Mus musculus: one gene and its partners. The protein of the gene in region 5 interacts with the protein of the main gene of each other region in a pairwise test. Links are inferred from orthologs where the notes say so. Each region holds a gene or a part of one and is shown on either strand. Other genes may lie near its edges.

Evidence for each region.
Region 1: the proteins of Ube2e3 (region 5) and Rnf167 interact in a two-hybrid assay, tested with the Homo sapiens proteins (2 studies listed by BioGRID and IntAct). The link is inferred for Mus musculus from reciprocal best matches to the Homo sapiens genes UBE2E3 and RNF167.
Region 2: the proteins of Ube2e3 (region 5) and Trim39 interact in binary tests that used the Homo sapiens proteins (3 or more experiments, as listed by UniProt). The link is inferred for Mus musculus from reciprocal best matches to the Homo sapiens genes UBE2E3 and TRIM39.
Region 3: the proteins of Ube2e3 (region 5) and Mul1 interact in a two-hybrid assay, tested with the Homo sapiens proteins (2 studies listed by BioGRID and IntAct). The link is inferred for Mus musculus from reciprocal best matches to the Homo sapiens genes UBE2E3 and MUL1.
Region 4: the proteins of Ube2e3 (region 5) and Cnot4 interact in a two-hybrid assay, tested with the Homo sapiens proteins (3 studies listed by BioGRID and IntAct). The link is inferred for Mus musculus from reciprocal best matches to the Homo sapiens genes UBE2E3 and CNOT4.

Annotation. Positions count from the first base shown.
Region 1 is NC_000077.6:70,645,989-70,650,043, reverse strand, and holds the start of Rnf167 (E3 ubiquitin-protein ligase RNF167 isoform 1 precursor), read right to left. Parts: upstream 2,810-4,055; 5' UTR 2,176-2,809; coding exon 2,092-2,175; intron 2,030-2,091; exon of another isoform or gene 2,016-2,029; coding exon 1,935-2,015; intron 1,637-1,934; exon of another isoform or gene 1,452-1,636; intron 824-1,451; coding exon 698-823; intron 600-697; coding exon 512-599; intron 370-511; coding exon 279-369; intron 133-278; coding exon 27-132; intron 1-26. Other genes in the region: Slc25a11 (mitochondrial 2-oxoglutarate/malate carrier protein), read left to right, coding at 3,182-3,276, 3,816-3,968, 4,054-4,055.
Region 2 is NC_000083.6:36,268,633-36,272,757, forward strand, and holds the start of Trim39 (E3 ubiquitin-protein ligase TRIM39), read right to left. Parts: upstream 2,802-4,125; 5' UTR 2,705-2,801; intron 2,146-2,704; exon of another isoform or gene 435-2,145; 5' UTR 430-434; coding exon 1-429.
Region 3 is NC_000070.6:138,433,182-138,437,480, reverse strand, and holds the start of Mul1 (mitochondrial ubiquitin ligase activator of NFKB 1), read right to left. Parts: upstream 2,810-4,299; 5' UTR 2,722-2,809; coding exon 2,602-2,721; intron 1,302-2,601; exon of another isoform or gene 1,187-1,301; coding exon of another isoform or gene 1,082-1,186; intron 1-1,081. UniProt on the Homo sapiens protein: Exhibits weak E3 ubiquitin-protein ligase activity. E3 ubiquitin ligases accept ubiquitin from an E2 ubiquitin-conjugating enzyme in the form of a thioester and then directly transfer the ubiquitin to targeted substrates.
Region 4 is NC_000072.6:35,021,562-35,025,745, forward strand, and holds the end of Cnot4 (CCR4-NOT transcription complex subunit 4), read right to left. Parts: exon of another isoform or gene 2,780-4,184; coding exon 2,567-2,779; intron 1,872-2,566; coding exon 1,570-1,871; 3' UTR 504-1,569; downstream 1-503. UniProt on the Homo sapiens protein: Has E3 ubiquitin ligase activity, promoting ubiquitination and degradation of target proteins. Involved in activation of the JAK/STAT pathway. Catalyzes ubiquitination of methylated RBM15.
Region 5 is NC_000068.7:78,917,544-78,921,054, forward strand, and holds the end of Ube2e3 (ubiquitin-conjugating enzyme E2 E3), read left to right. Parts: intron 1-1,143; coding exon 1,144-1,291; intron 1,292-2,414; coding exon 2,415-2,512; 3' UTR 2,513-3,040; downstream 3,041-3,511. UniProt on the Homo sapiens protein: Accepts ubiquitin from the E1 complex and catalyzes its covalent attachment to other proteins. In vitro catalyzes 'Lys-11'- and 'Lys-48'-, as well as 'Lys-63'-linked polyubiquitination.

The DNA of each region.
Region 1 (4,055 bases), on a different chromosome or scaffold from region 5:
ATCGTAAGTTCTCCTCAGCTACTTACCAATACTGTTCCCATGGCCAAAACCAGTAATCCTACAATCCCAGTGAAAGGAATGAGGTAATAGCCCAAGGGGAAGCTGTTGTCTGGAACCAGAAGCACCCGAGCCCTGAGGAGAGAGAGACACAACCTCAAGCCAGGTAAAATAGGGTTACTGGCTTGGGACAAGGCATAATGAGGAGAAAGTCAAGGCAGCCGAGGAAGAGCCTGAGCCTGAGTGGATTGAGAAGAACTGGAAGAAAGCATGCGTCCTACCCCTTCTCGTAGACAAAAAGGGCTCGTAGGTACTCTGCGCTTCTCTCTCCAATAAATACAGATGGGATCCAGATCTGCTGTTGGATTTCCTCTGTAAGGAGCAGGATATTAGGGATTTAGCCTTCTGTTCCTCAATTCCCTGAAACTGGCTTTTGGCACTTTTTGCAGATCTCAACCAATTGCCCTCCCACTCAACTCCACGGTGCACCCAGTAGTGCAGGCTTCTTCCTTACCGCTGTTCCACACCATGTTCAGCAGTTCATTGGAATTCACATTGTGCACCACAGCTGCACCATACCCAGCCTTCTGAGCATTTAGGACCTAAGGAGGCCAAGCGGGAGGGATAGAGCTGTAACCCTTGCCCTTCATTCCTGGTGTCATGTACCCTGCTTACCACCTCCCATTCCCCATTCAGCAACCTTGAGGTCAAAGTTGCAGTCGAATCTTCGAAGCAGTGCAATAAAGACTGACCCATTGACCGGGGCTGAGGGTGGTGGGGCAATAGGACCGCAGGCATTTTCTGGGTGGGCCTCCACAAGGAACCCCTGAGGGATAAAGGCAAACATTTTCATCTTTAGTTCTGTCTTCCACAGGACCTACCACACATAACACTATATACTACCTGCATTCTGCAGCTCTATCATTGCTCATTCTGGAGGTCTGAGCATCCCACCCAACACTGAATCTACAACTCAGACATGGTGATACATGCATTTAATCCCAGCACTTGAGACTACTGTGAGTTGGGGACAGCCAGAGTTCCAGAGTCCAGTCTCAAAAAAAAGAAAAAAGAAAAGGGATCTCTCAGCTTTCTTGAAGATGCAGTTACAGTAAACTACATCCCTTACCAGAGGCTCCCTTAACTTCTCAAGCGTAGTTTAGTTCTGCTTTTAAGTTTCCCACCGATAGTGGTTCACCTTGCTACTCATTCATGGCATTTTCAACAAGTTTCATTTTCCAATTAGCCATCTTACAACTCTACTGCTAACTGTGGCCGAATGAATTCTTGCTATGTGGCATGAACTTTGTAGTGAACTACTACAGACATGCTTATCACACTGGCACGATAGCCCTAGGTTAATTTCTATTTCTCATTTGACTCAGAACCCATAAAAAGCTGTCCATGGCCATCTATACAAACAGTAAGTTGCTCCAGAGACTGCTGATAAGCACCTGCTTTTTATCTTAGCCCACTCTCAGACTCCCTCTTAAACTTGGGAGTTCTAGGGGTTGTAGATGGTTCAGTGCTTAAGCGCACTGGCTGTTCTTCCAGAGAACCGGAGTTCAGTTCCTAGCATCCATGTAGCAGCTCACAACTGACTGTAACTCCAGTTCCAGGGGATCTGACACTCTCACACCTATGCATATAAAATAAAAAATGTTAAGTTCTAGAGGTGGGCACTATCTATTATCTCTGGATTCTGGACTCTGCGCGCTGGACATGATCATGCACTTAGGTTTTTCTGGATTGGGGACACTTTTTTTTTTTTGCTGGAGATTCAACCTAGAATCTCACTCATACTAGAAAAAGCACCCTATCATTGAACTATCCGCAGTCCACTGCATTCCGCTGCTAACTCCACTACTTCCTACCTCCTGAGCACGGCCACTTCGCCCCTACCCAGGATCCATATAGGGAAATGGGGAAAACATCACCTGCAGTCCCTCGTCGCTCAGAGTGGCCCCAAACAGAGCTGGAAGGTCTGCAAAGTCCATGCTGGCATTGTGCTCCGAAGTCTGCAGACGGAACACTACGTGTTTCAGTCTGAACCCCATTCTCAGCACCCTGTCCCCGTCCGACCCTCAGACTCACCGCTCGAATCAGCCCTCGGACAGGGGCTGCTCCCCACAGTACAGTAGCCACGACAACAGGAAGCGGGAAGGCCGCAGGGTGCATGGCAGCGGGAGGGGTAAAGCTGCGAAGGTCGCGTTCTGATCGCAGGAGCAGAAGCCGAGTCCTGCGCCCTCCTCTGCCTCTCCTTCAGGATCCCAGGGGTCCAACCACCCCTAGGTCCCACTTCTCAGCTACATGGGGGCGTCGGGGAAGGAACTCCGATTCAGGGAGTGAGCTATCAAACCAGCTTAGCGGAGCTGGTAGGGGAGACAATGTATCTTTCTCTAGTACAGAAATAGGACAGAATAGGAGCGAAGGCAAACAGGTAACAACAACAACAAAAAAACTTCCGGAAGGGTAGGAGAAACCTCAAAGAGGTGGGACTTCCGGCCAGGTAGACTGTCTTCCTATGCCCCTGGAAAAGGGTTTCCGGTAAGAAAGGCCAATTCCAGTATTGGACGCTCAGGACGGAGGACTTCCGGTCCCGAGAGGCCGGTTGAAAGAAATGTTTGACATGTAGAAGGAGCCTGCGGAGATGGAGGGAGCTTCGATGCTCAGGAGACGATCTAGTTTTTTTCCCTCAGTCCCTGAGATCCTGGAGCTGCCCTGTTTACAAACCTCTCCTTCGTCTGGCCGCCACGGTACGTTCAAAGTATCGCGAGAGTGCTTGCCACCACCCTCCCTCCACCCCCCCACCCCCTTTCGCCGCTGAAATATATCGCGAGAGGCCTCATAGCCCGAACTCGGCTGATTCACTTGCTCTCGCGAGGTTTTCAAACAAGCTTTTTTTTTTTTTTTTTCCCCGCGATTCCAATTCCGGAGGGGCGGGAATTTAGGGTAGCTTCCTAAATCGGCCACGCCCCTTCATCGTGCATCTTAGCCCCGCCTTATTCCCCGGCTGCCTTTGCGCTCCGAGCCTGCGCCCGCCCCAGCTTCCAGCTGGAGCCAGATTTGCCTGTCGGAGGGGCGTGCGCGCGCGCGCCCTCACCCTGTTGCGCGCTGGTGTCACCTTGGGCGCGAGCGGGGCTGTACGTGCACGGGACCCAAAGCCGAGGGCCATCAAGGGGCGATGGCGGCGACGGCGAGTCCTGGGGCTGGCCGGATGGACGGGAAACCCCGTACCTCCCCTAAGTCTGTCAAGTTCCTGTTTGGGGGCCTGGCTGGGTAAGCTCAGGCCCCAGTGATGGGGGAAAAGGAGGAAGGGACGGGAGCAAGCACCTGGGCCCAGTGTAACTTGGGGTGTGTTGCAGTAAATTGAGCCGGTGCAGGGTCCCTGATGGGTTGCCAGGATCTATTCATCCTTTGCAGGGACCCAACTGTGCTGCATTCAAGGATCTTTACCCTGTGTTTCCACCACCTTTGCTTCGTTGTGCCTGTTTGGGTGGTGGGTATAGGTCATTAAAGGCTTTGTTATAGGACTGCTTGGAGTCTTAGGATGGGGACGCCCTCTCCACCTTTCTTTAGATCGCCTGTAGTCCTAATTCTGCTTGAACCCTAAAGAACTGCCTGAGGCTTTTTGATTTGCATGCCCCTTACTGGGCAACTGGACTCTTTTGCTGGCACGTTGCCCTTGATGCACACACTTAACACACATGCCCACCAGCCTCCTGAATCCTTAGTGGCCCTGACCTTTGTAACTTCTTGCCAGGTTGCAGTAGAGCTGGAACCACTGACCTCTGATTCCCTTTCCTGCCTCACTTCAGGATGGGTGCTACAGTCTTTGTGCAGCCCCTGGACCTGGTGAAGAACCGGATGCAGTTGAGTGGTGAAGGGGCCAAGACTCGAGAGTACAAAACCAGTTTCCATGCCCTCACCAGCATCCTGAAGACAGAAGGCCTGAAGGGCATTTACACTGGGTACTGTGGCCTCAAGTTGGGGAGGGAAGTTGTTGGTTGGCAGGTCCAGACCTTGGCCTGATGTGCTGACATTTCTACTCTTCAGGC
Region 2 (4,125 bases), on a different chromosome or scaffold from region 5:
CATCGGCACGACGGTGTGGGGCCGGTGGGTATGAGAAATTGCACATATCAGACAGACAGCCTCCTGGTCTTCATAGCAGAAAAGGCTAAGAGGTTCGTGGTGCTGGGAGCAGAGGCTTTCATCTCTGATCTTCCGCTTGACCGTCTGGAGCTGCTTGGCGATTTCCACCATACTGCCTAGCTGTCGGTTAGGCCGGAGACTCCGGTATCGGGATGTCTTCCGACAGACAGGGCAAGGGAAGTCCCGCTCTAGGTCTTCCCACCAGCGGGTAATGCACGCTTTGCAGAAGTTGTGCCCACATTCAATAATAACTGGCTCCTTCAGATACTCTAGGCATACAGAACAGCTTGCTTCCACCTGCAGGTTCTCCAGAGCAGCGGCTGTGGAGGCTGCAGAGGTTCCAGCCTCTAACAGACTTGTCTCTGCCATTATAACTTGGAGGCAGGGAGAGAGGAAAGAAGTGTTAGTTGGAGGGTTATTTTGTTTCCTGACATTAGCTCCCAGTAAGCCATAGGTCTAGATGAAGCCCCATCTTGGTATTCTCCCATTTCCACCTTTTCATCTGTTGGTCTATTTACAGTGTGTGTGACCTCTCCCCATCACTGTTATTATTATTTTATTATTATTTTGAGTCAGCAAATATCAGCAGTGCCCAGAATTTCTTTACCTCTGCTTTTTCAATACCAGCAATGAAAAGGAGCCTGATATGGCGACTGAAACCCATTTCCCTAGCCATTTTTGAGGTCAAGGTAGGGGGACTGTCATTAGCTGAAGGCCAACGTAGGCTACACAATGAGTTCTAGGTTAGCTTGAATTACACAGATCTTATTTCTACAGGGAGGGAACCATGGGAAATGAGATATGTCACATAAGCCAAAGTATTAAGATTTTAGCTGGGCATGGTGGCTCACTGTGAGGCAGGAGGATCAATACAAGAATAAGGCTAGCCTGGGCTGTAGAGTAAGATTTGTAAAACAAATAATATATCTACATATCTATTAAAACTGACTATCAGCCCTAGAACTCATTACTACTTTAAAGAACTTCATATATAATTACTGCATCGATTTCAAAGAACCCCAAGCTACTTCTTCTAACGTCATAGGAAGTTTATTGTTTTAGAGTCTAGCCTTGATTGTCTGCTGTTCCTCTTAATGAGTTACACTACAGTAACACACTGTTTCAGGGAAAGCATGACATGGTTCTTCCTTTCCCCAAACTAGCCCAAAGGAAGAACGCTCTCTTCTTGAAGATGCTCCTGTCACTCACCGCATTTCTATTTGTGTGCAGCTGGGATGGCTGCAAAGCAACAAATACATATCAGCTCTAAGGAAGCACCATTGAGTGCATTGAGGGCAGCAGCTTCTTGGAGAGAGAGCTGGCAAGTACATTCTAAACATTCAGTGGTGACTGCAGTCTTTCAACGTCACTACTGATAACTAACTCCTTAGATAGTCAGTGATTAGGAAGGAAATTAGCCAGGTATGGTTAATACTAGGTAGGTAGCGCATGTACCGAGGAGGCAAAGGCAGGAGCCTCAGGAACTCGAGGCCAGCCTAAATTAAATATAACCAATAAATAGTTATTGGTCTCAATAAATGAATAAGTGTATGGAAAGAGACAACCAAAGCTCTCCATTCTTAAGATGTCAATACATAAGTAAGCTAATTTATCTGGTCCCATAACCCCCTACTTTCCTTCTGTCCCAAAAGGGGCCCCCCAAAAAGGAAGGAAATTTGATAGGTCTACCCATCGACAGAAAAGTGCCCATGTAATGAATTGGGGCAACAATGATTATTTCTGTATACTGGTGGTACAAATGGAAGGATTTTAAGTAGGAGTTGGTAACTTATCCTCTTTTAATGGAGAAAAGAATTGATCCAGATAAGTACAGTTGGATGATTTCTTTCTTCTCTGCCCATTAGAATCCAGTTTTGACTAGTGACTTAGCCTCCTCCTCCTCAATCCTACAGATAAGTGGCATCCTCACCTAAAACTGAACCATATTCACACTTGAGAGACCTGCATGTATCTAATTAGCAAATAGATGGTATGAGAGAGAAACGGGCTCAAGGATAGTGAAGAACGGAGAGGATTTGGAGCTGGGGGTGGTGTGGTGGTGGTGTAGAGGGCAGCCATAATATGGCCTTGTGCTCCTCTGGCTTGATCCTTCCTCCCACTCTCCATTACTCGATCTCAGTGTAAGTAATCGCGTCAGAGACGTCCACGTTTTGCCTTTAATCACTATTGGGTACCACCTCAGGAGCCTCTTTCAAGCACTGGCCACAACTCTGTCCCACCCGTTCTCCATCTTCTCCAGCCATATCGGGAGCATGAGGACCAGAGTGAGGGAGCATACGTCGTGCTTGGCAGGGAGGAACGGATGCGTGTCTAAGTGAGGGAGAGGTGTGACGTGAAGGTGGGATGCCCGCTGCCATGTCGCAGCCCAGACCCGCGATGACTGCGTCAGTTTCACCCGGGGAGACCAAAGGCAGCGGGACAGGGGAACGGCGGGGTAGCCAAGCAACGCCGGACGCGCTGACGTCGCCGGGGCGGCAAACGTCCTCCGGGCCCGAGGCGGGCGGAGGCAGCTGTGGTTGCGCGCCGGCCGGCTGACGTACTCGCCGGGCGTAGGGCCGCGGCGAGAGGAGCCCGCTCGCTGGAGCCGGCTGCGGGACCCTTGTGGCGGCGGCGCAGCACCTACCTTCCCGGCTCCGGGTCCCGGAGTGCCGGGCGCGGAGCCGCCGGAGCACTGCCTCCCTCCTTCCTCCTCCCCTCACCCCCGCCCCGCGGCGCGACACACAATACTCGCCGGAAGCGGAAGCCGCGCTGCGGCGATGGAAGACAGCTGCGCGGCGCCGAGCCGCCGTGCCAGGGCCTAGTCGGGCCCGCGGCGGGTGGCGGGCGGAGAGCCGGAGGCGAGGGCCTGCGCGGCTAGTTTACCGGGCGAGAGGGAACCCGCCGCTTCCCGTGGCTGAGGTGCTGGCGCCCAGGTGACCAGAGCGGTCCCCCGGAGACTGAGGGCCGCGCATGCGCGTGGCGAGACGCCGAACCCCATGGCGGGCAGCGCGCCGTGGCTGGGCTGGCAGAGCTGCGCGGTCAGCGAGCCCGCAGAGGCTCAAGCTGGTCCTCGGTGGGGCTGGGAACCGCAGAGGCCTGGGCGGCTACGGGTTGTGGGCGTTGGGCCACACTTTCCCGGTCTCCGGGTCAATTCTGGGGGAGGGTTGCTGTTTAAGGCGGCGGTGTATTACGTGGCCGACCTGAGAGTCTATGCTGGCACGTCACTTCCGACTGGCTGAGGTTTGGCAATTTAACCGGCAAGCTGTAGTAGGTGAGTTATCTTGGCTGCAGACCGAGGTGCGTCTTTTCCCCTCCTCCGGTTGGGTGATGTATTAGCCAGGGGTTCTCTAGAGCTACAGAACCTAGTGAATGTTTCTCTCTCTATAATTAATCGTGATGACTTACAGGCTAACCCAACAATGGGCAGCTGTGGATGGGAAGTCCAAGAATCTAGTAGTTGCGCAGTCCCACGTGGCTAGTTCTTTCAGCTGGTCTTCTGTAGAAGTAGGTTCCGACAGATGTGCTGGCAAGTAAGTGCAAGCCCGTGAAGAAGAGAATCTTCCTTCTTCCTATGTCCTTATGTAGACTTCCAGCAGAAGGCGTGGCCCAGATTAAGGTGTGCACCACCTTGTTTGGATTTGGGACTTGCTTTCTCCCGGGCTGACTTTGAACTCAGAGAACTCCTTGCCCCAGTCTGGGATTGAAGTCGTGTACTGCCTTGCCTGGTCCTAAACTTAATGGCCACTGTACCTCAAGATCTCCATGTCAAGATCCAGGTCAGAAACTTGTGTCTTCCAGCCTCAAGATCTGGATCACAGGTGAGCCCTCCAATTCTGGGTTGTAATTCCTTCCAGATAGTCAAGTTGACCACCAGGAGTAGCCACCACAGCTGACATTAGCGAAACGCTTTCCCTGGCTGGAGCTGGAGTGTAGAAAACCGGTCTAGTTCGGTGCTTTGCTGCCCCTGCATCTAGGATGCCAGGAGGACCAAATCCTGTGCTCAGGAAACACTGGGTGGGAACCAAAGCCTGCTTCTTTCTCTTTGAAGACCTTGCTTAAGTTTCT
Region 3 (4,299 bases), on a different chromosome or scaffold from region 5:
GAACATGGTTAGGCCAGGGGCACTGGGCTCCCCTTCCCCAAGGCTGGAGGTGTCACCATCTGCTTTCCAGTTCAACACAAAACTCCTGTCACATAAGTACTTTTACATGCGTATCTAAAAGGTGCTAGCTGCTTGGCACACTGTAGAAGGAACCTCAGCAGAGACCGGGCTAGCTCAAGCAGCAGCATATCCCTGACGATTCTGAACAACTTCACTCATCTGAGTCTGCTTCCAAACTGTAAAGGGAGGGAGAAGACGATCTCATGGAATTTTCTGAGTGGGATAAATGAACTCTGAGGTATGGGAAAACACAGTCCAGAGCGGACACATGGAAGTTGTGATGGTTTGTCTATGCTTGGGCCAGGGAGTGGCACTATTAGAAGTGGCCTTGTTGGAGTAGGTGTGTCACTAAGGGTGTGGGTTTAATTTAATGCCCTAGTCCTAGCTGCCTGGAAGCCAGCATTCTTCTAGCAGCCTTCAGATGAAGATGGAGAACTCTCAGCTCCTCCTGCACCATGCCTGCCTGGATGCAGCCATGTTCCTGCCTTGATGATAATGGGTTGAACCTCTGAACCTGTAAGCCAGCCCCAGTTAAATGCTGTCTTTTATAAGAGTTGCCTTGGTCATGGTGTCTGTTCCCAGCAGTAAAACCCTACGACAGAAGCCATGCAATAATCAAACATTCGTGTCACCAGGAAAAACACGGGAGTAAGTACAAACTCAGCTCTGTAAGCTGTGACCTGACCAACAGGTGCAAGCGGACACTAGGGCTCCCACAGCTTTTTCCAGGAAGGGTTATTTCATCCTTTTAGGGACTAAGTCTCAAGTACCACAGGCTGGCCTAGGACGTATCGTTCATCTGCAGGTGTCCTTCACTTGTTTTGTTGTTGTTTGTTCTGGGTTTTTTGTTTGTCTTTTTGTGCTTGGTTTTCTGGGTTGTTTGTTTGTTTGGTTGGTTGGTTGGTGTCCCTTGAACTCAGAGACCCACCTGCCTCTGCCTCGTTACACTGGGAACTTCTGATCCAATCCTTTTCACTGCAGAACTCCACGGTTTTGTTTCTGAGCCCTTACTGAAACCAACCTGGTGATAAGACTTGGGCTCCAAAGTCCATCTTCCATACAACTGCCAGAACAAGTCTTTGGCTGATGGACTGTGAAATTCCAGCCAGCATAACACCACCACCATGCGCTGGGCAGCTACTGCTCGTCACACGCTGAGGTAAGAACCGAGAGATGAAGATGATCCCCCCGCCCTTTCAAGGTTCGTCAGCTTGACAGGTGCCACAGAGCAAGGCGGTCAACTAAGAAAGGAGGACAAAAAGTGTCGTGTTGCTGGAGTTCCAGGCAGAGCTGTGCCACGGTACCCATAAGAGCCAGCCTCAGCCACCAGTCCTCAACAAGCCAACTACAAAAGCTAAATTAACAGCGACAAGCCAGTGAGGGCGAAGACCCCTGGGGGCTCCGCTCCACCCCAGCTTTATCTCTGGGTCCTAACACAAAAGCAAGGGCCTTTCACATCTTTACCTTATTACTTTTTATTATATGGGTGGTTTTGCCTGCATGCATGTCTGTGTATCACATACATGCCTGGTACCCAATAGAGGCCAAAAGATCACCTGGGACTGGAGACAAAAATAAAACAGAGACGGAAATGTGCCGTCTGAGCTGTTAAGTGCAACCCTCAAATGAGAATGTAGTTTTAAAGTAACTATAATATACAAAGAAATGACTGTAGAAACCTGGAGCGGAGCGGTTAAATAGATGAGCCTTTAAGTTCTCTGTTCTCCAAATGAGCCTCTAAGTTTGCTGTTCTTCACGTTGGAATCACCCCTGCCTTACATATCTTCACATCCTCCATCTCCGACCCAAGTATCACCTTGTTTAAAATGGCGACGCCCCCCTGTCAATGGCCATAATCTAGAATCACTTGGAAAGAGTGTCTCAACAAGGAACTGTCTATATTGAGTCAGCCTGTGTAGGCATAGCTGTTTAGACACTGTCCTGATAGCTCTAACTGAAGGGGGGAAACTCGCTGTTGTGTTGTGACTGACACCATTCTCTAGGTCTGGGCTCTGGACTGTTTAATAGTTGTTTCTCTCGACTCAGACGTGATTTGCAGCTGACTCAAGTTCCTGGCCTGGACTTCCCCGCGATGATGAATGGTAACCTGAAACTACAAACGAAATAACCCTTCTCCCTCTCCTAAGCTGCTTTCTGTCAGATATTTTACTATAGCAAAAGGAACGGAACTCTCCGTTTCCCTATCTTTCCGCTTTTCTCTGCCCTACTCCAACCCGATTCTCGCCCTATCACACGATCCAATTACGTGTAGGCGTGTGGTTGACCTAGAATGCACTGTGCACCAGGACAATGGCCTGTTTTTCTCACTACCTGGTGCCCAGCAGGTTTTCGAGAAACAGTTTTACAGCACTGCAATAACGTCCAGTGACACTGAGGGTCACTGGGGGGGGGCAGCCTCGCTGCAGCAGGTGCCCGGGATCCCCTCTGGCTGCGCGTCGTCTGGGGCCCTGTGGCTCCCCGGTGCGCCCCGGCGCGAGCTGCCAGTGAGACCGGGCTGCCCACCCCACCCCCCGCACTGACCTTGAGTTCCTGCGCGACCTGGGCCTTCTGCCGGTATATGGAGTACAGTACGGCGGTGACCATCGAACTGGTGCCCAGCAGGATGACCTGGCCGAGCGACGGTCGCGAACCGCTCTCCATGGCGACCCCAAGCCGCACCAGCCGCCTCGAAATCACCTGCGACCCCTACGCAGCCGCGCAGCCCTTCCCGGAACCCGTCGCCCGTCGATGACGTAAAAACCGGAAGTGGAGGACGGGGGTGGAGCAAAGACGTTGCCTAGGTGGTTGCGACGTTACTGCGGCCTCCTGGGAAACCGGTGGGGCTGGCTGTGGTCACGTGGGAGCTCTCCCTCCGGGTTTCTAGACGTTCTTGCTCCGTTATTGTTAAATGACATCTAATTTATCCTATGAGAGCGTGCCTTGGTGCACCTATAGAGGGCAGGACTCGATCTGAGCGTCCCGGTTTCTCCTACTTTATGGGTCCTTGGGATGGAACTCAAGTTCTTAGCCATGGTGGCAAAGCACCTTTACTCACTGGTCTGTTTCTCCAGCCCTTGCTGGATTATTTGATGTCGCCGCCGTCAGATGGGGAGCTGAGTAAAACGCGTGTTCAGCACCAAGAAGTGTTAGGCTTTAAGCTATCGGAGAACCTTGAAACCTGGCTTTTAAAGATGAAGAAACTAGCCCGGCGTGGTGACGCACACCTTTAATCCCAGCACTTGGGAGGCAGAGGCAGGCGGATTTCTGAGTTCGAGGCCAGCCTGGTCTACAAAGTAAGTTCCAGGACAATACAGAGAAACCCTGTCTCGAAAAACCAAAAAAGAAGAAGAAGGAGGAAGAGGAAGAAGAAGAAGAGAAGAAAGAAGAAGAAAAAAGAAACTGGGGCCAGAGGGGATGGAGAACATGGTCGGAGCCATACTGCAAAGGAGAGCTGGAGAAAAATTAGTCCAGCTTCAAAGCCCTCAACCACTACACCAGTTGAATTGATTCTACACCAGTTGAATCGCGAAAATAGCTCTTAATCTACTGCCACGCCACCCCCAAAACAGCATACTGCTTATTTAATAATAACAGCAAATATTTTTATTGAGTGACTATTATATGCCTTGTACTGTAGTTCGTATTTCTTAGGCCTGGCCTGTGTTTCACTCCACTATCTAGGGACCAAACCCAGGGTTTCAAGTGTTCTTCCACTTAGCTCCGTCCCAGTCACTCCAGACCAGCATTTGATGCATTCAACCACTGCCACAGTAGAGTTTCAGGAGAGGAAACTGAGGCTTCGGTTAAGAAATACACACAGTCCAGCACTCAGGAAGCAGAGGAAGGCAGACCTCTGAGTTCAAGGCCAGCCTGGTCTACAGAACGAGTTCTAGTACAGTTGGGACTACACAGAGAAGCCTTGTCTCAAAAAAACAAGTGGTGGGGAGAATATAAATACACTCAGACCTTTAACTAAAAATGATAATGGGCTTCAACCCAGGTGACCTTTGGAGAACTCGTCCAACTCCTCTCAGACATCAGAGTCGCCGCAAGTCTTAGCCAGCACATCTGCCTGCAAAGCCTGGGTTCTCCTTGCAGTGTCCTATAGGTTATCCTTTAAATTCCTCAAAATAGACCTAATGATATTCATTGGAGTGCTTTTTAAATAACAAAAGAATAAAAATGATCTAATTCCAATAGTCAGTTGGTTGAATAAAATTTGAAACGTTTGTTGAGGCA
Region 4 (4,184 bases), on a different chromosome or scaffold from region 5:
GCTTACAAGACTGCCAACTGAACGCAGTCTTCTAGCGAGAGCCTCCACTACTTTAGTCAGGTCCCCCTACTCTGGCTGGCCGAGACAGGTGTCTGGACTGTCCGCCCCAGGGCTGCTGGGTCTCTTTCCTGCAGCTCAGAGGGTGATGCTACTGGGCTGCTGCTGCCGCTGCCACCGCTCCGACAACTCTTCCTGGAGACCCATCTCAGCATGTCAGGCTCCTACTCACTCCTGATGAGTGGCTTCAGTTGTCAAGGTCTGCTCTGCATCTCTAAGAGAGAGTTCTTAGCCACTGGGAGAGGAGTGTTGAGAGCAAGAGGGGCTGAGCCTTAAAACTAGCAGTGGCTGACAAAGACAAATCTTTTATGTTCTGATTTCCTCAGAACCACGCTCCACAGCTGAAGATGTAAAATCTAATGGAAACTCATATGGTACTGCATCATTAAATATTCCAAACCCACACGAAACAAACTGAAAAAACAAGAACAAGACTCACCCGAGGGTCACCATCAAGTTTTCTGTTTTATTTAAGATTTTAGTTTTAATTCTGAAGAGAGAGGTACATTTCCTTGTTTTTAGTTTTAGCATCAGGTTATAACCAGGTTTGTTTTCTTTTCTCCTGTCTTTTCAATACTGCACAAACGTCCAGAAACTACAGGGTTAAGTAAAAGCTGCAGGCAAAGAGGTCAGAGATTTGCTTCTGTTGGTGATCTGATGGCCCCAGAGCAGTGCTGGCTCAGAGTGCCCTGTCAGGTGGACTTATGGTCAAAGAAAAAAAAAAGATTCTGACAGAGGAGAAAGACTGAGGAAATCACATAGAATTCAGCTCTTATAAGGATAGGTATTGAATCTGTGAATATCTTTTTCCTTTAAAACATCTGAATTTAAGTCTAAAGCCAAAATTTTTTCTCCTTAAAAAATTACTTTTCCTTCCTTATAAACTCTTTAGCAGTAGGCCAGTTACGACTACAGATCAATTTATCTTCTCATCAACTTCCAATAAATCCCTTTGCTTAACAACACAATTGAGTCCTCCCTATCAATTCAATAAAGAATTTAAAATGAAAAGCATTTTTCCTGCAATAGTGAAAAGTTGAATACAAGATGGAAGCCAGGACCACTGCTTTCCCCCATGAACTTAGCAATCTCATTTAAGTCGGCCGTGCTCTCAGTTCTGCAGTTGACAATGCATTTACTTGACCTTTCCTATAGATTAATTGTCATTTTCTGCTAAGCAGATTATGTCATTATGAGCGACAGACAAACAGTAATTTTCTAAGTATTGAGACTGCCTTTTGATTTTCTTTTTCCTCTGCTTAAAAAGGCAATTCCTGCCCCCCAGAAACATTCAACAGTGTCACTCACTCAAATGCTGGATCAACCGAAACTTTTTACAATGAAAGAAAAGATGGTAAAGACGCTGTGATCGCATCGTATCTGGGGGTAGGGAGAAAAAAACCCGACCAGGAGCTGGATTCTTCAGAACGTTAAGAGATGAGAAGGGAGCTGTGAGTGGGCTGAGGGGGAACAGGGTGGGACAAATCCTGCCCTTTTCAATTCCCTCTTTGCTTAGTGGCGGTCCAGTGTGGAACTCTGTAGCAGATCTGTGGGGGTTTTGCTGGGGGGTCTGAAGGCTGTCTGGAAGCCTGGGGGTGGAGAGTGGAAGCTGGAGGGATTTGAAGGAGGTGGGTAGGGGTTCCAACTGGCTCTGTGCAGAGGGATCTGTGTGCTGAAGGGGGCGCTGTGATGGGGTTGTGACGAGGCAGCGCTGGGGCCGTCCATCTCTGTGAGGGCCTGTAGGGATTTTAGCCAGTGTGGAGGATTGTCGTCTTGAATAGAGTCTAAAGTGTTTCCTGAAGATGCTGGAATACCTACAGAGGAAACAGGAGACAAAAAGAAAATGGTGAGTCTGTCAGGAAAGAGGGCCAAGTTACTCAGGTAAACTTTAAAAGAGTGATCTGGCCACCCAAGAAATAAATTACAATTGTCAATTTCCAAATGAAACCTTTTCAGCCTTATGATCCTTTAGCCACCCTCCCTCCCCCTTCTCCAGCAATGACCAAGACTTACTGTGACACAAACCCTCATAAAACTTGGTCCCTCACTTTCAGAGGCGGAACAGCAAAAAACAAAACCAAAAATCCCCACCAAACAAGCAACCTCCCCGCCAGAGATTCCCCAGGCCTCCCAAAAGTAAATGGTGTGTTTCCCCATTCCCCCGCCCGCCTCTAGCAGGGATCTGGACACAGACAGCCTTATATAGAGAGCTTTATAAAGAGTGGAGTATGTTTCTCTTAAGATGGCTCAGTTAGATCCTTTAGTACTTTGAGGCCTACAAAATACACACGTGCTGCCAGACGGTAACACCTACTTAGAGCAAAAGGAGTGACCAAGGCACAAGCGCCTCGGAACACAACTAGGCAGACAGGTTCACCACGACCCTAAGAACAAACCAGGCTTTGTGAAAAGGAAGCAGAGACCCCTGCTCTGACTTAGTCTGACGCCTGTGGGTGGAGCTGAGGGGCGGGGGCGGGGCCGGGGCGGGGCGGGGCGGGGAGGAAGTTACCTGTGATGATGGCTGGGTCTGTCCAGCTGCCAGGGCTGTCCCAACTCACGCTGTCCGTGGTGGCAGTGTTGGACGTTGGTGCACTGTGGTTGGCGTTGGAGGGGGAAGAAGAATTGGGCAGTCCACCAAAGTTGATGTTAATGTTGGGTAGAAGTGCCCTTAGCCCGTCCTGCCATTCCTTCATATTTAAACTCTCTACAGAACTGTTGTTGTCTGGGAGATTTACCAACAAAAAATGAAAGATAAAAAAAAAATAAAAAGCTGACGTTAGAAACATATGTTGTTCTTTAGTGGCTAAGCGGGAGAGGAATTTCTTTCTTTACTGAGCGTTTGTGGGTTATCCTACCGAGACAAACTGGGTTAGGTCTGTGCTTGTGAGCTCGGGACCTAAGTGAGGGGCAGGGAAGCTCTCTCAGGCCGACGGGACAGGACAGGAGGGGCCTGCTGCTCCCTTTCTAGACTGATCTCTACATGTGGTGCAAATCAATAATCCAGCTGCAAGACTCAGTGCTCTAGAGACAAGCCAGCACCCGCTAAAGGATAAACTGTCAGTCAGAGAGGCATTTAAGCCAGCTCGGCCATTAAAAACATCCTGTGAAGTTCTATCTAGAAGCTCATTTCTGAGTTTATTAAATGGGAGAAAGTCATTTAATGAAGAATAAACATGATCTAATATTAAAAGAAAATGAAGTTCTCCTGATTATAAAATTGGTAATGCATTTCAGGGAAGCAAGCAGATAATGCAGGCTTCTGAATTTAGAAAGGATATTTCCCCTGAAGAACAGCAAACAGGGGCTGAGCTGGGGAGTCTTATAGTTTCCAGAGTCTATTTATGCATAGTGTCAAATAGAAGAGACTAGCAATGTAAAAATGGATTTTTATAAACTTCTGTTTAAACTTTTTAGAACTCATATATATTTGATATTTGGGGTTGGGAAGGTAAAGTCTAACAACTTCTTAGAATAATTATTTTATTGAGAATGACTCAAATAACCAACTGCAGTCTTTGAAAAGCAACAATATCTCTTTCTACAGAACTGCAGGCAGCACGGAGGGAGGGGACAGCAGAGACTGTGACTAGGCAGGCAGGCCATGCACTTTGGTTAAGTCAGAATTCTTTTCAAATTTTGTTTGCCCCATCACTGACCTATGCCAGATTCTACTAGGTCTCAGCAAATGAAGCATCACATGGTACTAACCTTCTTCATAAAAGACAAACACAACTGAAGTCAAGTGAGCTCGTCTCTGAACTTGACAGAAACGGAGAAAAGGTACTGTACACTAGGCGGACACCACAATGGGGGTGGGGATTCCTCGACCTGAACTAGCCTCCTTCACAGGCTGCTATTATTTACCAAGCCTTGTCCTTCTCACACCTGCATATTATTTGCGTTTGCATTGTGTTGTACAATTTACAAGGTACCGCACAGTTATTGATTTCATTTGATCCTCACAACAACCCTGTGAGGTAGGCAGGACTTAGACAAAGGACGCACAGGGACCGCCGTGCACACCTAAATCCTAGCTAATACTCTACAGCTGAGTAGGCATGAGAACCAGGGCAAGCTGGTAAGACAGCCCCAAAAGAGAAAAAAGCTGCCCATGTCTATGTCTATAG
Region 5 (3,511 bases):
GGTATTCAAAGTTAGATGCCTAGTTAGAATTCAGATCTCTGTATTCACAGAGTATCATGATATCATCTATAGCCCCTATTAAGCCATCATTAGGTAGTATGTTTATTGTTCCTCCACTCTGCCTTTTTTTTTTTTTGTGCCCCCACCCCCTGAAAAAGCACTTTTGGGTATTCTTCCTGTCCCCTGATGCTCCTTTGAAGCTCACAGTACACTGCTAATTATAAAATAGAAAGTTCTTTTTTCTACAAGTCCAAGTGATGAGTTTACTCTCTCAACTGCTTTTTGTATTTGCTTAGAAACATACAAGTATTTATTCCTGAAAAAGAGATGTCAGTTTCTTTGGTGCAGTAACTGAAAACCTTGCTTTTTTTATGTCAGTGTCTATAGGAGAGTGACTAAGAAAGGACAGTAACACAGATGATGGCCGCAGCCTTCCTCCCAGTCCTTCACTTTATTCTGACATAGGAAGACGTTTGGCTGAGCTGGTGATACTCACCACTTTCACTAGAAGCTGACCTAACCTTTCAAGAATCATTTATCTTCGTACTTTGATGTCAAAACTTTTCTCCATTTTCCATGTTCATGTGTGTCCACAAAGATATATGATATATGACTATACATATACACGCTTATATAATGCCATTCATGTAGATTTAATTGATCAGTTGTTCACCTGTTCACTTTGTTCTTAAACCAGGGTAATTCCTGGTATTGTATGTAGTGCATGCTGATAGTCCCAGTACTCAAGAAACAGAGGCAGGAGGATTGCTGTAAGTTTGAAACCAGTGCAATGTGCACAGCAGGTTCATGTCACCAGACTTACACACCTCTTTTTTTTTTTTTTTTTTTTTTTTTTTTTTTTTTTGACACCTTGTGTCAAAAAGAAACAACAAAAACAAATGAGCCAAATAATAGTTCTTTCTATGTTAAGTCAAAATAAAGCCAAAAATCAATACTTTTAACTAAAAAACAACTACGTAACTTTTAAAATAGTTTTGAATAAAACTACTTAACTGTTATTACATCCAATGTAAGAACAGTACTGGTTAATTATTTACGGTCAGCATCGTCTGTAATGTGTTACTGTTGAGATGAATTGGGAATAAGCCGTGTTTGCTTCCTGTTTGCTGTGATTGTGTATAGGTTACTTTCCGTACCAGAATCTATCACTGCAACATCAACAGTCAGGGAGTCATCTGCCTGGATATTCTGAAAGACAACTGGAGTCCTGCTTTGACTATTTCAAAGGTTTTGCTCTCTATTTGTTCCCTTTTGACAGATTGCAACCCTGGTAAGCAAATCTTTATGAATCTACAAGTAAAATGTGTTTTTTTAATGTTGGTCAAGACATAAATGTTACTATTAGGAAGAGCTGCATCAGAAATAGAGTATCTAGTAAGAGACTAGGTGTTAATGAGACAACTCTGAACTCACAGGGAGACGGTCTTTAATAGTATGTCGTAATACAGGGACCTTGAGAGATATATACACACCGTAGTAATGTTAAATTGTAGGTGCAAGACATATATAGAATATCTGGAAAAAAAGTTGTATGCCAAGGATTGAGTTCTGAGTCTCGGGCATCCAGAAGGGAAGCGTTTTATTGTGTCTGTATTGGCTTTGTTTGGTGTACTTTCTATACACAAAGCATGTGTGCATGCTTTGCTTATAAAAGTTTTAACCTCAGATTCAACTTTTACTTCAAAATTCTATTTAAAATAAGATGACAGGTAAGTTTTTAGACTGCTTATGTTTACAATTATAGATGTTACTTCATGACTGTCAGGGATCGTTTCATTCTGAATAACATTGTAAGATGGAGGCTTTATGTGAAGCTTAGGTAACGATGCTTAACAAGAAATGCAGCCTCAGACTTTCATAGTTGAATAAAGTGTCAAGAATAACATGACAGGGAACTTGCATCCTTGACATCTCAACAGAATATCTTGGGGCACCTAAGCAAGACCCACACAATGTCATCAGCAATTTCAGAAGTCCCTACCCCAGCTGCTAGGGGAGCAAGAAGATGTCATTTCTAGTGATGAGCCCCTGATAGGTTACATCTTTATTCCTAAACGGTCAGCCCTAAAGACATAGACTGAAGAGAGAGGGAGAAAAGAAGGAAGGCACATTAAAGAAAGGAGTCCTGGCTTTGGATAGAGCTAGAAGTAAACGTAATGTAAATATAGTCGTGTAGGATTCTCAAAAAACAGAAAGTTAAGTCTAAAATATTTGTTAAAACACATATCTTTTCCAAATATTAAACTGTATAGCTGTTTCTTGACTATTTTTTATGAAAAAGTAAAAACATTCTGAATTAAAATGCTGCCAAACTGTAGCTGTTTTTATATAATGCCTTGTTAGAACTATATGTTTAAAACATACATGTTTTAATGTCCTTTTCACTTTTCCAGCGGATCCTCTGGTCGGAAGCATAGCCACTCAGTATTTGACCAACAGAGCAGAACATGACAGGATAGCCAGACAGTGGACCAAGAGATACGCAACATAATTCACATCATTTGTATGCAGTGTGAAGGAGCAGAAGGCCTCTTCCCACTGTGCTGCGGATCTTTATAGCCTTTACAATACGGACTTCTGTGTATATGTTATACTGATTCTACTCTTGTCTTTATCCTTTGGAGACTGGGAGACTCCCCCAAAAGGTAAAAGCTACCAAGAGTAGAACTTTGTAGCTGTAGATTAGTTATGTTTAAAATGCCTACTTGCAAGTCTTGCTTCTTTGGGATATCAAAATGTATTTTGTGATGTACTAAGGATACTGGTCCTGAAGTCTACCAAATATTATAGTGCATTTTAGCCTAATTCATTATCTGTATGAAGTTATAAAAGTAGCTGTAGATGACTAGGAATTATGTCATTTGTATTAAGCCCAGATCTATTTCTGAGTATGTGGTTCATGCTGTTGTGAAATGTTTTACCTTTGTCAGTTTGTAATGAGAGGATTTCCTTCTACCCTTTGTAGCTCAGAGAGCACTGATGTATCATCTCAAACACAATAAACATGCTCCTGAAGGCATAGTTTCTTGTCATAATGTTGAAAGTCTTGTCAGAAGGTGTGTCTGAGATGATTGTTGATGAAATAAAGACGTGGCTATGAAGATTGATTATTAAGGACTAGTACAAATGAATTATTAAATTGAAAACATTTAAAAATCCTGTGTGTAGAGTTTTTTCCTTTAAGGAGAGAATACAGTGGGCTTAAATATGAAGCTGGATTTTAACCATTGGTCTTAAAAAACAATAACACACAAATTCTACATTGACAGTGTAGCATTTGAATTGAAAATGAAGTCCTGCGTTATTTAGGACTCTCTCCGTGTCTTAACAGAACATTTTGTCTCCAAATTGGTGATTTCTGTTCAACGCTGGGCAATATTGTCAGATAATTGCTATGCTGTGATTGCTTTTCTATGGTGCTTTTCCCTTTATTCCTGATCTTGAATTTTTATGGTGCATTATTGCTACTGTGATACATAGCCGGCAAGTG